Linked DNA regions of Caenorhabditis elegans. The protein of the gene in region 2 interacts with the protein of the main gene of each other region in a pairwise test. Each region holds a gene or a part of one and is shown on either strand. Other genes may lie near its edges.

The links.
Region 1: the proteins of ikb-1 (region 2) and nhl-1 interact in a two-hybrid assay, tested with the Caenorhabditis elegans proteins (2 studies listed by BioGRID).

What each region holds. Positions count from the first base shown.
Region 1 is NC_003281.10:9,147,330-9,155,723, forward strand, and holds nhl-1 (RING finger protein nhl-1), read right to left. Parts: upstream 6,574-8,394; 5' UTR 6,476-6,573; coding exon 6,434-6,475; intron 6,001-6,433; coding exon 5,891-6,000; intron 4,337-5,890; coding exon 4,195-4,336; intron 4,150-4,194; coding exon 3,806-4,149; intron 3,760-3,805; coding exon 3,600-3,759; intron 3,522-3,599; coding exon 3,438-3,521; intron 3,387-3,437; coding exon 3,262-3,386; intron 3,209-3,261; coding exon 3,074-3,208; intron 2,443-3,073; coding exon 1,113-2,442; intron 822-1,112; coding exon 696-821; intron 650-695; coding exon 515-649; intron 469-514; coding exon 277-468; 3' UTR 66-276; downstream 1-65. Other genes in the region: ZK512.8 (uncharacterized protein), read left to right, coding at 1-16; Protein irld-34, read left to right, coding at 7,787-7,847, 8,239-8,342, 8,389-8,394.
Region 2 is NC_003279.8:9,683,595-9,689,816, reverse strand, and holds ikb-1 (Death domain-containing protein), read right to left. Parts: upstream 4,420-6,222; 5' UTR 4,264-4,419; coding exon 4,192-4,263; intron 3,646-4,191; coding exon 3,522-3,645; intron 3,473-3,521; coding exon 3,390-3,472; intron 3,247-3,389; coding exon 2,999-3,246; intron 2,949-2,998; coding exon 2,866-2,948; intron 2,557-2,865; coding exon 2,423-2,556; intron 2,367-2,422; coding exon 2,097-2,366; intron 2,050-2,096; coding exon 1,704-2,049; intron 1,659-1,703; coding exon 1,225-1,658; 3' UTR 1,164-1,224; downstream 1-1,163. Other genes in the region: rpl-14 (Large ribosomal subunit protein eL14), read right to left, coding at 1-164, 511-615.

The sequences.
Region 1 (8,394 bases), on a different chromosome or scaffold from region 2:
CACTTTCAAAGCTTAGAATCCACAATCGAATGCAATCGGAAATCCAATGAATGTTTCCTTTTTCTCAATAAATATTTTATTGAAACTCGAAAACAGAAGTGTTTTAAAACCGAAAGTCGTAATGGGTAATAATAATTAATAATACTTGTAAAAGTGCTTTGTACCTAAAGATGAAAACACTAAAAAGTTGGGTGGCATCGGTATCGATAACAGAAAATTACAAAGGAGACATTTTAATTGAAAATGAAACAAGAATAAGGCCCGAAAAAACATAATTTAGAAGATCTGAATGCGATGATTCTCGCGATCGGTGACAACAATTGAACCGTCAGCAGTGACACAAACATCTTCGACACCTTTCAGTTGTCCAGCTCCTCCACCCCAAGTTCCGAAAGAGGAGACAAATTGACCTTGGGCGTCGAAAACTTGGATCCTGTTGTTACCGGAGTCGGCGATTATTAGGTTTTCCTGAAAATGAATGGTTTAGAATTTTTCTTTAGCATTCCAGCCTTACCTGTGAATCAATAGCAATTCCACGTGGGAATTTGAATTGTCCACCATGAAAACCTTCCTCGCCGAATGAAAACAAATGAACACCGTGGGGATCGAATACGCTGATTCGATGATTCGAAGAATCTGATACATACACCTGAAACGATTCAGAATGATTCATGAATCTATCTGGAATCACTCACGTGATGAGTAACTCTGCTAACTGCTATGAACAATGGACTGTTTAGTTGACCAGGTAGATGTCCGAAAGATCCGAATTTTGCAATGAATTGACCATTTTTGTCGAAGACTTGGACGCGGTGATTATCCTATAATTTAAGCTTCACTTGTATTTTAGCATGTGGGGCAATGTTTTTTAAAATTTAATCTAGATCTGCAAAGCGGACCACAATAATGTCCGGCGTCCGAATTTCCAAAAAAAAAAAAATTAAAAAATGATACTCAAAATACCGGACGTCCGGTTTGCCTGCAATATATGAATCTACAAAAACAAAGTTCTTCTCTTGATGATAATTAATAAACAAAGTTAATTTTTATCAAAATGTATACAATTATGAACTTTCGCATTACTGAGAAACGTCTCATGATAGTTGACCTACCTTATCAGCCACATAGATACTTCCCAAATCATCGACAGCAACTCCCCATGGATTATTGAACTTAGCATTTCCCTGTCCATGTCCACCGAATGAGAACAAATGATCTCCTTCCAATCCAAAAACGGAAATTCGATGATTGTACCTGTCGGATACAATAACTCGGAGCTTTGAGCTTGCTAGCCCGGCAGCTGAATCAAGTTGTCCGGCACCGGCACCGTAGCCTCCGAACTGACGAACAAATTTTCCATCTTTATCGAAAACACAGACACGATGATTAGACGAATCACAAGTTGCGACAAGACCTCCGGACAATGCACAAATTCCACGTGGCCAGTTTAACTCGCCATCCTTCGCACCTTTTCGTCCGAATACTGCACGTGGTCTACCACGAGCCCTCCATTCACCAGCTTCACGAGAAGCGCTGCGGCCACGCTGTCGCAAAACGGCAAGCTTCTCTTTCTCTTCGTCGGTTGTCGTAGAAGAGTCTAAACGAGATTGACGTTCGGCGAGAAGCTGCTGCACTCGAGCACTTGTGAACTGTGCCTGTATGTCGGGATTTGTGCGCGAGCGTTGGAAGCGTTGCCTCCGACGCTGTAACCACGCTGGCACGACGATGTCACTTTCGTCTTCCTCACCTGTGAAATGTGTGACTGGAATCGCGACTTGTTCAGATGTCCCATTGGTGATCGGAGCGGATGCCGGAAGTTGATGTTGAGGTGGCGGAACATTTATGATCGTACCAGTTCCTGGGATCATACTCATCAGTCCATCATCACGGTTTACAGATGCCGCGCGACAAACTATTCGTATTCTACCGCGGTTGGTGGATACGGGAAAATCCTCTCCCTCTGATTCTTCACTTGAAACTGCTCTTGATGCAGCTCTAGATGCATCTTGACGTTGTTGATGAGCTCTACGGATGGTTTCCACTTTCTCATTCAAAGAATCATCGTTACTGGACTGTTGACGTGGCAGAGGTGGCTTTCGGATCGGAAGTTGTGGAAGTGGAGCAGGTGATGCATCTTCAGTCCTCTCAACCCGTTCAACAGATTGTGGTGGAAGAGGAGGTTTACTAGCTGGAGATACAGTTCTTGGTGTTTCAGTATTCGGAACAATCAGACTTGTTGGCCGTGACTTGGTTGGTTCAACTGATCGGGTGACACGATCAGCAGCCCACGGCGATGTTCGTGATGAAGAGTCCGCAGTGACTGATGTAGTAAGAAGAGAAGGAGCAGCAGATGAATTACGGAGACGATTCCAAGCTTCGTCTTCCAGCTGCTGACGACGACGGTAACGAATCGAGGACTCATCAGGCTCAGGATTTCGATGACTGAAATTAAAAGAGGATAGTTTAGAGAGGGAAACTGTATGGAGAAGTAATTGTGAGATTATACATTTAATAAATTATCCAAGCTAAATTGAACTATAACTTCAATAGATTTATGTCAAAATGCCGGTGCCAAATTTAATATTCATAAAGGGCGATCAATATGTGTTTGGCCAAAAAATAACCAAAATTGGATAGTAATAAACCAACATAAAAACGCGGAAACGCTTTTACTTTTTTGTCTAGCCGTTTTTCTTCAAAAATTCGAATAAAATTTTGAAAATAATTAACTTTTAAATAGTTTTTTAAATTGTCCGTTGCCCCTTTCTTAAATATTATTATTTTTATTGGCATGGCAAATTTAGCATCTTGACACAATTCTGGCGACCTCTAAGATATTTTAATGAATAAAACATAAATTGTACTATATTTGAGTGTAAATTGCAACAATAAGCCGTTACATAGAAAACTGAAAACATGAAGTCGAGAGCCAGAGACCGGACGTAGATTCATTTTGACACCTTAACAATGTTGATTTTCTATAATTAGTGTTCTACACTATACAACTAAACTACTTGACTAAAAATCACACGTTTGTTAATAAAAAACCAAAACCAATTCCCATGGAACATACCTGTGCCTTGAAGATGTCCTATCAGCTTCTCGATCTCTCATACTTGCTCTTTCGTCAGATTTAACCCGATAACTGTCACTTTCCAATGGTAAACGGAATGGTCTTGGAAGGTATGATTGTTCAAGAGGGAGGTATCTACAAAGTATTGACTAAAGATTTTCGTTTTTTTTGAAGTTTTTGAAATATACCTTCCCGAAAATTGAGGAACTAGAACACAAAGTTCACCAGAAGTAGTGATCGCTGCTGGAAGCTTAGCAGCATCATCTCCAGCTGAGAATCGGAGTTTTCGATTAAAAAGTTCGTCGGCGTCGGGCTAAAGCATTAATACAATAAGAAATGTTCAACAATTAAATTAAAAAGTTACCTGAAAGTTCCTAAGATATTCAAGCCCTTCCGTAAACGTGTTTTTCATTCGAACAAGTTCAGAATCTTCAATTGAACATTCTCCCTGAAAATTTTAAGATTTTTTTGTTATGATATCTTTTTGAAATTCTCGATAGCTTCAAAATATTCAATGAAATCCCACCTTGATTGCAGCATCCAGTCTAGAAACTGCTTCACTCATATTAGAACTTTCAATTTCCAGAACATCACGAAGATTGCTCATATTACGAGTCTCAGTAGCTTGAAATGTATCAACTTCCATGAGAAAGTTGTCTTCCTTCTTTTTCAGATCTCTCTGGTATCTGAATTTAATTTTTTTTTCGGGTTTTTATATCTTTTCAGACAAACCTGTGGAAATATTCTTTAATTTCTGCTTTTGTTGTCTCACAGTTCATTGTCATCATATCAACTCCTTTTGATAAATTATCCGATGCTTCCGTAATTCGATTGGCAAGCCGTTTAACCTGATTCAAAAGTCGCGACATGTCTCTTTTAAGCATATCCATATGAGTCTGTCGACATTCTTTACATGCTTTTCTATCACAATGTGCACATGGTTCACAGTCTGCTTTCTCATCACAAATCTTGCACCGTTCCAAATTGTACCTGTGAATGTACTCTTCAATTTCTGCAGCCGATTCTGGTGTGGCCTGCAGATGAATCTCGAGAAACCCGGTTAATGTGTAGTTTGGCTGAAAATGAAATATTTTGCTTCAAAGTGATACTTATTTTCACACCTGAAACGCCTTTACTCCGTCATATGGAATATTGTGTTCTGCTCGACATTCTGGACATTTCAAATTGCGATGTAACGTGTCTGCACAACTTTCCAAGCATGGATAGCAAAATGTGTGTTGACAAGGTAGAAGCTTGGGTTGTCTGAAAATAGTTTAAATCTATAACTTGATATTTAAAAGTTTAGCCATTCTGTTCAGCATTTATCTCTATAAAAATCAAAGCTCAAAGTATTACATTTCAACTACCAAGTTCTTCAGATGTCCAATGTCAATATCTCACGATTTCACAACTTTAAAAAATCATAAAAAGTCTCGTTTCTCTTTCTAAATATCTTTCAAAGAGATCACGTCCAGCAGGCTTCTTCGTTTCCTCATCGGTGTAATACACACACTTTGCAGCCCCATAGCCAATGGCAAAATAGTTGAGAACTGGCGGAGAATCCGATTGAAAAGTCTTCTCTTGGCTCCCTTCTCGATTGTAAAAAAGAGAAAAGAGAAAGTAGAGGAAAAGCCGTTCGACATGGAGATAGATACAACGGTGAAGCTGTTTCGAAATACTCTAACAATGAGTTGAGAACAACTGTGTGATTGATTTTGAAGTGTTTCATTGTTAAAAAGTGGATTGCCACCAGTTGAAATATTGTCATATGATTTCTAAGATTTCGAAAAAAATTCCAATCATCTATTGAATTGAAAAAAAAAATATTTGAAACGTTTCTTTTATCGCAGGAGGTATTTTTGTGAATTTTCAATGAGCACCGGGTTATAGCCCAAAAGCTAGAGCTTTTAATCTAAAAAATTGGCAAACTTATGATTAGGAAACTTCAATAAAAACGTTGAGTTTTGAAGATAATCGCCATTGAGAAAAAATGTTTAAAAACACTCCTAGTGGGCTAAAATACTACGCCAACTCTTCTTACTCGTCTTTCTCAAAAACAAAAAGATTTATAAAAAGTTAGCAAGATAAAACTTGAGAAATTAAACTTGAGAAGACAGAACAAGAAATGGCGAGTTGAAAAATATCATAGTATTACACCTTCTAAGCTTGAAAAACTTTACCCCTACGTTCACTAAATACAATGTTTGTCATGATTGTCTGAGGTCTCGTGCAAAGTTATTCAAATTTTTTACTTTTTTTTATTTTATTTTTGAGACTATAAGTGTATTATTCAAATATTTTACAAGAAAAGGTTCTCGTTTTTAAAATGGATGTTTACATTTGTTCATCTATAACAGATCAATGAAACATCTCTTTTTTTTAATGTTCCACTTTTTACTCTGACGTAGGTTAGTCTATATTTATTGACACAAACGTTGTTGATTTAACCCAAAAATGATCCTCATTTTTAAAAGATCCCTGCAGGATCTTAGATTGTTGATTTCTCCATAACGTTCTCCTAGCTAATCATCATAACAGTCTGTCTGATTTTATTATTGTTTTGATGCACAGTGCGTAAACAACCGGATGTTTATTATGCATCCCCTAAGTCTATCTCGTTTTTTCAAAAAAATTCCCCTCAGCCAAGCGGTACTTAGCCTAGGTCATATGATAACAGTGGTCAGTCAGAAGTCACACGGCCTATGTCTATCCTTGAACTACACACTAATAGTTTGTTTTGGTTGTCCGTGGTGCTTCTTCTTTCAATTTCGTCTGCTCACTTTCAAAACGAACAGCTGATTGAGATCACAGACTTACTTGTAGCGATCGAGACAAATCGGACACGTCAGCAACTGCTCGATCTTTTCGAGAGGATTCACAAAATCAGCTGGTCGACTCGATGGTGGACGTGACATCAGCTCGCGCATCTGAAAGAATCTATGGGTCATGTGGGTTAGAGATGATTGCACTAATCAACTAATCAATGTTGTACAGGGACTTAACTTTTTCTCAAAATCAGTGGAATAACTTTTCATTTAAAAAATAAAAACGTTACTTTAAAGTTGCAATGTCTATTTGAAATAAAGAAAATTTGTACAGCACCTATAGGGAGCTTAAACGAAATATAAAAATTTTGAAAATTGACAAAAATTTTAAATTTAAGTTTTAAAACTCAAAGGACCGTTATAGGGTTACCAATATTTTTAAGATAAAAAATTTCAATGAATGTCTCTAATAATTATTTTTTGTAGATGTTTAAAGTATATTTCATTTCCAGTTGTCCACAAAATTAATTTTTAAATGTTTGGAAAACGACGAATTTAAGATTTTCTTTAAAAAAATAAATTTTTTAGAACAAACCTTTTCGCGAGCTTCTGCTTCATTTTGTGGAGAACTGCTCATAAGGATTGAATTTTAGAAATATTGGAATTTCGAATTAAAAAAAAACAGGATAGAACGAGAAGACGAATCGAATATAATAATAAAGTGGGGTGTACTTGGAGAGTTGGGGATGAGTGTGCCGAGTGCTCCCGGGAGCCAAAAAAGATTTGAGACGCAGAGAAGTTGGAGAAAGATCTGGGGAGCAACAGACGAAAGACGCCCCCAGCCATCTCCTGCAAACACAGCGGCGGCCGATATCAATCGGTGTGCGTGGGGTGCGCGGATCGGATTTTGAAAAGTTCTTGGTTGAGTCTTTTACTGGTTTTTAGGCTTTGTTTGACTATTTACTCATAAGTTTTGAAACCGATGGGAATTTGAAAAAAAGATCAATAAGATATGAGGATATGAACGGCGGGAAGATGCAGCTGGTTTGTTGGTTCTCGAAGATTATGATAACTGTCCTGAACGTTGAAATATTTGAGAAGAAATTGACAAATTGAACTTCAGTATTTATTTTCAGAAGCTTGAAAGTGTAGATTAAAATTAGGATGTTTCTTTAAAACATAAAAATAGTCCGAAATTCAAAAAACCACAAAATAAAATCGAAAAATAAACCGCAGAAAAATGGAAATTCGAACTATTAAAACCGCGATTTTGAATTCCCTCCGAAATAAAAACTTTGACCAATCAGTGATTTGCTCCGCCCACTTTTCAACCAATCAGGACGATTGTGTAGAGTTTGAAGACGTTGAGTGGTTAGAAAATGGGCGTGGCTTATACTTTTGGAAGAAGTTTAAAAATGGAGAACAGTCACAATTGAAACTTGCCTTTTTGGTTTGTTCATTCTTTTTTATTTTTGTGGTATTTTCATAACACTTTGAGTATTTTTCTTTAAAGCACATTTTTTTAAACTTTTCAGGTAATTTGACGATTTGACAATTTCCCGAAATTCCTTTTTTTGTATTTAAAATCATGATTATTTGATTTTTCAAGCGTATGTATGTACTTATTTTGTCTTTTTTGTTGGTAAACTTTTGAAACTAATGATCATATAATTTGAATAAAATCTGAAAGTTCAGCATCCTGCTCTCTATAATTACGTAATCTTCAAAACTCCCACTAACCACCTTTCGACTATTTTTCATTAAAAAAAAACCAGCGAGTGCAGTAGCTAGAAGGCGTGCGAAATTCGCTGGTTACTATGACAATCGCTTTCCGGAGGGTGGGCGGAAATAATAAAAAATAAAGCAGTTTTTGAGTTGGTTAATCTAATCACAAGTTTTGTTTGTCTATCGTCTGGTTGCAACGAAAAAGAGTAACGCGCTGGAATTTATGCAATGGCCACTTATTGCCGCTCTTTTTACTCAGTTATATCACTTTGTAATTGGAGATGGTAAGTGAAAATGAAATAGTAAACATATTACTATTTTAGTTAGTTTTGGTTTAGAGACGAAATTTCGCAAAATGTTGGATAACAATTAAATTTATAAGAAATTACTACTCTCTTCTAACTGTCCAGCTTATCTCGGTTTTTTTTGGTTTTATCAAAAATTTGTTAATTGACAAAATACGCGCTAAATATTGATCTATATTCTGAAACAGTTTTTGAAACAGTTCACTTAAGAAATCCGAAATATGAGCCGTCAAAATAGAGAAATGATGGTGCAAGTCTAATAGGGAAAAAACTGCGTTTTAAATTTTATTTTCCAATTGCCAAATGCAAAAATCTTAAATATCATTCTAATCGGTAATACTTTTGATAACTTTGAATATATCATTTACAGATTGTTATTGCCCATTATGTGAGTTGGACAAATTACCCGACAACTGCACAACAATTCATGGACATATTCAAATGGGTCTCGAGTCAACAATGCCACCGTTTGAGGTTTTATTTATTCAAAACACTATAGGATTCCAATAATTTGTTTAAGATCGTT
Region 2 (6,222 bases):
TGAGTCTTCTGGAAGTTCTCGGTGACCTTGGCGGCATCGAAAGCTGCCTTAACTCCCTTGGTGCGTTGTCCAACACGGAGCTTGAGGACGAACTTGGTGAGCTGAAGATCCTTCAAGTTTCTGACGGTGCGAGTGACATCGGAGGATGGTCCATCGATTTGAACCTGAAAATAACAATTAGAAGCCTGTATTTATGTTTTCTTGGGGCTACGTGTTTGCTTAAAACAAACGCTCAGCTAAATTTATATCGATTATATTCGAAACAATTTCAAAAGGGAAGTTGTGATTAATCATAAATTAACAATCTAATTACTAATTGTTCAGTAAATCACTTTAACGAGCATATTTCAGTGATGATTTCACTATTTAATGATTCAGAGCTATGCTTTCCGATTTTTGCATTTTACAAACATTTCTGATCGCATTGATAATCTAAACGTTTTAAAAAGTTTAAGTAAAATTCAATAAATCTGCTATACATTTTTTTTTCTTAATTAATAAATGACTTACTCTGTTTCCGTCGATAACGTTGACGATGGCAGCAAGCTTGCCTTGGTCTTTGCCGGAGGCGATGAAGACGACGCGCCCAATTTGAACGACACGGTTGAAGACCATGTTTACTGAAAATTAAATAATAAATCAAAATTATAACGCGTACATTGAGAAGTGAAGAAACACCGAAAAAATTGACTTCACCAGCTAAAACGATATATTTTGAGCAAAAACTTATGATTTTAGTATTAATCGATAGACAAACTGGTTCTGAATTTTTCTTATATCGTTTTTATCACAGAAACAACCGAAAAATATCAAAAATTTGCTGAAAAAGAAGAAAATTTGGGAAAAAAATCGCAAAATGAGTAAGACAGCCATAGGCTACGGTGACAATTTCGTGGCGAGACCCACATGGGGCGGGACACGTGCAAGTATGCGGCGCACCCAACGCAACTGCGGCGCAGTTTATCTCATCTTTTTCATTGTAGGAAGGGGAACTTTGCTCAATTGTTTGCTCTTATGTAATTTCAGTGATTAATGTATGTATTTGTACTGAACCTGTATGAATTTCATTAAACCGGTGAATTTTCAAAAAAGTCGTGTTCATATTTTAGGAAAAAGCAACTTAGTCCAGTTTTTCGATATAAATTGCATTTTGTAAATTAATACAGGATGCATGGTAAAGTTTTATTACTGAAAACAAAATAAATAAAAACAATTCTGCGATATTCAGTAAACATAACGGGAATCAATTAATTTAACTGCATCATCTTCTGCCATTTGATTCATAGCATCGCGCAATCGGGAAATTGATGAGTCTTCAAGTTGTTCAAATTGGTCCAAAAGAATCATAGTCGGGCTTGAATCGTCTCCCGATGAGCAAATAGAAATAAGTTCCACCATGTGATCACAATTGAGTTGTTGTGCCAATCTTTGCCATTTGCACTGATCATCAAATATTTTTGCAACGCGAATTCGGGTCAAATAATCTAAATTGCAGACCGAATCACTAAGCTTCGGATTCCGATCCCATTCACTTCGACGCCTTCGTGTTCCCGACGATGTTGAGGGTCCCGGCTGTTGCTCATCTTCAGATTCAGATGTGGATATTCTCGAAACACGTGGAGCCATGGAGTCAGTTTCAGCGAGAAGAGTTTGAGCGTCTACAAAAACGGATCTAATTTCAAAAAATCTTTCAGAAAACATACCATTTAATATTTCTTCTCTAGATCTCTTCACAACTCTGTGCCGCCCACTCTCTTCACCTGGAGCCTGATCTGGATGAGATCTCCCAAATAAGGGAGATCTAGAAATAGCTAAATCATTAGGAACACCAAAAGCTTCTTTCTTGGGTAGTTCGGGTCTATCTCCATTTATAATGTTTTGAATAACACTATCTTCACTATCTGCCAAGCATATTCCTTTAGAATTTTGTCTATTCGGATCAGCTCCATTATCTAAAAGAAGGCCAATCACTGGATAGTTAACGTTTTTTACAGCCAAGCTCAATGCAGTCTCTCCAGATTCATCTTCTATATTTGTTCCTGATCCTCTCTGAAAAAATATTAAATTTAAAACAATGTTTTTCTATGTACAGTTACCTCAACCAAAAGCTGAATAGTCTCAAAATCATTCATTTCAATTGCGTGCATCAACGCATTTCTTTTCTTTTCAGTATCCAAAAAATCAATCAATGCTCCCGCTTCAATGAGCATCTCAATCAACGACAGCTTCAACCTTCTTACTGCCACGTGAATCGGTGCAAATCCCTCCGAATTCAGCTGATTCACATCAAACCGTTGACCTCTAGATGGTTCTAATATTTCTTTGAAAATTGATTCATTGTATGCATCTCCAAGATAATGTAGAGCCTGAGAAGTATTGAATAATCTACACAAAGCGAACATTTTGTCTGTTATATACTTACTGTGCTCCCATGATTATCTGATATGTCAATTTTGGCTCCATGATTCATGAGATAATGAACAGCATCGGGATCTCCAGTCCTTATAGCTACATGTAGTGCAGTAAGACCATGTGTGTTTTGTACATTTATCACTTCTGAAAATATTACCCATATGCAAAATATTGCGCCAAAAATAAGATCTCCGGTCTCGACACGACAAATTTTTGCTAAATGAGAAAAGGTGTGCACCTTTAAGAAAACTACTGTAATATCAAACTTCTGTCTTTGCAGAATTTGTTAAATATAACCTTCAAAACAAACTATGAAAATTTACAAAAAATTGTCGTGTCGTATTTTCTGCGCGAAAAAATGCGAAATTTCGCGTCTTGGTGATATAAATACTGAAGTTTTTATGCCAATTCAATCACAGGTGCTTTAAATAGCTTCGTCTCAAAACATCTTACCATTTTTAATATCGGGTGGAATCACTGAAAGTAGAAGCTTTAATGAGAAGCTCTGCCCATTCTTCGCTGCCACATGGAATACTCTGGAATAAATTATGAATGTTGTAAAGGAGAGGAAAACTTGAAATCTTACGTATTTCCTTCAATATCTTGTTTTGAAATTTGTGCTACAAAAGGCTGAAGTAATGAAATTGTGTCTCCGTTGGTGGCAAATTCAAGTAAATTGTCAAAAAGCGATATTTCCTGAGTATGCGAACGTTGGATTTTTCGTGGCAAGTATTTGAAAGAAATCGTTGTCACATTATCATTTGAAGTTGAAAATCTGAGCTCCACTTCCAATTCTGAGTCTACTTTCAGAGAAGGGACTGTGAACATTACAAGCTGTAAAACATCATTAATTATATAAGTTTTTACACAGATTTTGTTACAGATTACGGAGAATGGGTACAATTTCAATGCGAATTTTATCATTTATTGAAATTATATTATTTTTTCAGTTTTCCCTTTTACGAAACGGTCCTTACCGAATGTTTCCTAACAACATCAATTGCACTCTCTTCAAATTGATCGCCTAGAAAGTGAATTGTGATGAGTTCAGTGGCGTCTCCTGTATTAAAAAGAAAGATTTTCTTCATCCGACTGTAACTTAAACTAACCAGCACCAGAACATGTTGCCCAGACGCGATCACCAGCAGATGCTTCAATAGTTGAAATATCATCAATGAATAACCGGCGATGTTGACTTGAGGATTTATGAATTGATGATGTATGGGAATTTATCTAGACAATAATTTGATATACTTTTTTATATTCATAATTGCTCGCTTCTAGAAAGTGCTTGATTATTTTCTTATTTGGCTCATATGCCATCAGGGTAAAAATTTTAAAAACTAATTTTATAGAGTTAAAATGACCAAATATAAGTATATATCTGTTCTGAAAATTTTTGATATTTTCCACCAAAAAACTGGCGATCACACAGTTTTCGCCATTCTCAATTTTGTAATTGTACCAAAAAAAAACGTTTTTTTTCTACCAATTTTATATTTACTTTATAATTATGTTTCAAATATTTGTATTTAACCATTTTAAAGGTTCAGATACGTAACTTTGCTTTAGATTTCTCACAAAGTCCAAATGGTTGGCAAATTTGGAAATTTACCAAATTTTTGACTGGGAATTTTTAGAGTTCTTTATTATGATATTTGGTTATTTTGGAATTATATTGATTATTATATTGAATATATTGATTCATATAATTCAGTCAAAATCCTCATTGAAGCTAATATATTTTTTAACTACAGTACTAGTAGTACTACTACAAACCTCTGAGTCTGATCTCGATTTGTGAACTCCATTTTCTGTGAGATTAGCATCATTTTCATCAGCTTTAGACATTATTAGAAAATGATTAAAAAACCAATAATCAAAATGAAACGAACGAGAGGATATTAGAATGAGGGTATCCCGCGAGAAAGCTTCTCTCCAACGACCACCGCCTGCTCGACTGTGTGTAAACTCGGCAAATGCCTATGTCTCTTCAACTTTTACACTATTCGCACGATCTTTGGGTTCAAGCACTTGGTCGATCGGAAAAGAGCGCGAGGACAATCTTATGACAATCTGATGGGGATGAATGAAAATATCAGCGGATTTGGAGAGAAATAGAGAAGCACAGAAAATGATGATGTGTTCGAAATGAACTAGAATGTGATATTGACCACGAGCTTACACGTAAATATCAGACAATCTAGATACTGTGTCAAAAACATTTGTTAGATAACTCGATAAACAACTATGCCAACCTAATAATATGAGGTCATATTTGGAGCTGATCAGAGTTCTCCAAGAGATCTAACAGTGGTGTCACCTTAAGAGGAGATATAATTTTTTTTTTTAAAGATGATGCAATGGACACTTCGGAATCAAAGTAAACAAATACCCAATTGAAAGTTAAGACAACTGTATTTAAATATTTAAAAAAATTTTAATAAGGACGTTGTTTTTGATAGAACTATTAATATGTTTCTATCAAATCGAGAGATCTGCAAAAGTTCTGATTTAAAAAACCGTTGTCCAATCAGCATGGGATCAATTGTGGCAAAAATGTTAAGCTTTTCGGTTTCTGAACTGCCTACTTTTCATTGATGAATTTTTTTTCCTTTTTTTTGGAACGAAAAAATTCGCAAAAAATTTTCCCGTGGTGGAGAGTTGAACTCATGTTTGTTTGTTTTTTCTGGACCCTTTTTTTTTCTTTTTTTTTGGGACGAAAAAATTCGCAAAAAAGCTCAATTATTGTTACAATTAAAATAGTCTGCAGATAAAACATTAAAACCGCTTTGAAGTGTTTTTTTTTACTCTACGTTATTTAGAAGTGTTTCATCACACACTGTAAATAAAGCACAGATTTCTGAAATAAAACAATAAAAGTTTGAAATAATCCGAGTGTTTCTTTCTAAGTATCTTTTGCATTTGCAAACATATCGCTAGTTGGAAAGTCGAGTTTTTTTTTCAGAAATAATTTGCAGTATTTGCAAGACTAATTTTCGATTTATAGTCAACTATGACTCAGAGTTAATTGAACGGCAAATAATAACGCCAAGACAGTGTGCACTGATAAAGTGAACAATGTTTTGGTAAGGTGACGGTTTACTGTTACTTTTTTCATTTTTCATCGATTTTTTAAATGTATTCCCTGTGGAACCACTATAAAAATATAAAAGACTTGATATTGGCAAAACTATATCAACAAAACAACAAAATAACTTACCGTTTTTCCTCATTAGTATTGCACCCAATTGTTCAACTTTGACAGCTTATACTATCTCAGTAATCGTTTGTACTATTCAAAATTTGTCATCTAACAATATATTTTTTAGTTCTTTTTCTATTATTTCGTAGTTTATAAAATATTGATATCTTTGAAATGAATCGAGATATAACGTTTCAAAGTTAAGTAGCCGGTGCCATACTAATAGAGGAAATACGGTAAAATTGAGAGGTTTAAATGTCACCAAAAATTAGATAAGGGAAAGAATGATCTTTAACCAAGTCTTGCCCGAGTTTGATTTAATTTAAGCCAGGAAAGTTTGGGTAAAATATAAAAAGGAGAAGAAGCTGTCGTCCCTCAAGCATTGACTTAGGATCGCTCTCGTTCCGTTAGTTCTCCTGAAATATAATTAATAGGTACGAGGGGGTCGTCGCCTCAAATCCTCGTCTCACCCTCTTTCCACCAAATCTTTGTGTACAATTGTTGTCCCTTTTTTTACTATTTTTTGTGCCTATGCCATTTCATTATCACTTTTCGAGTGTATATTCCAGCACCAAAAATGTTACAGATGAAGTAGGTTAAGGATT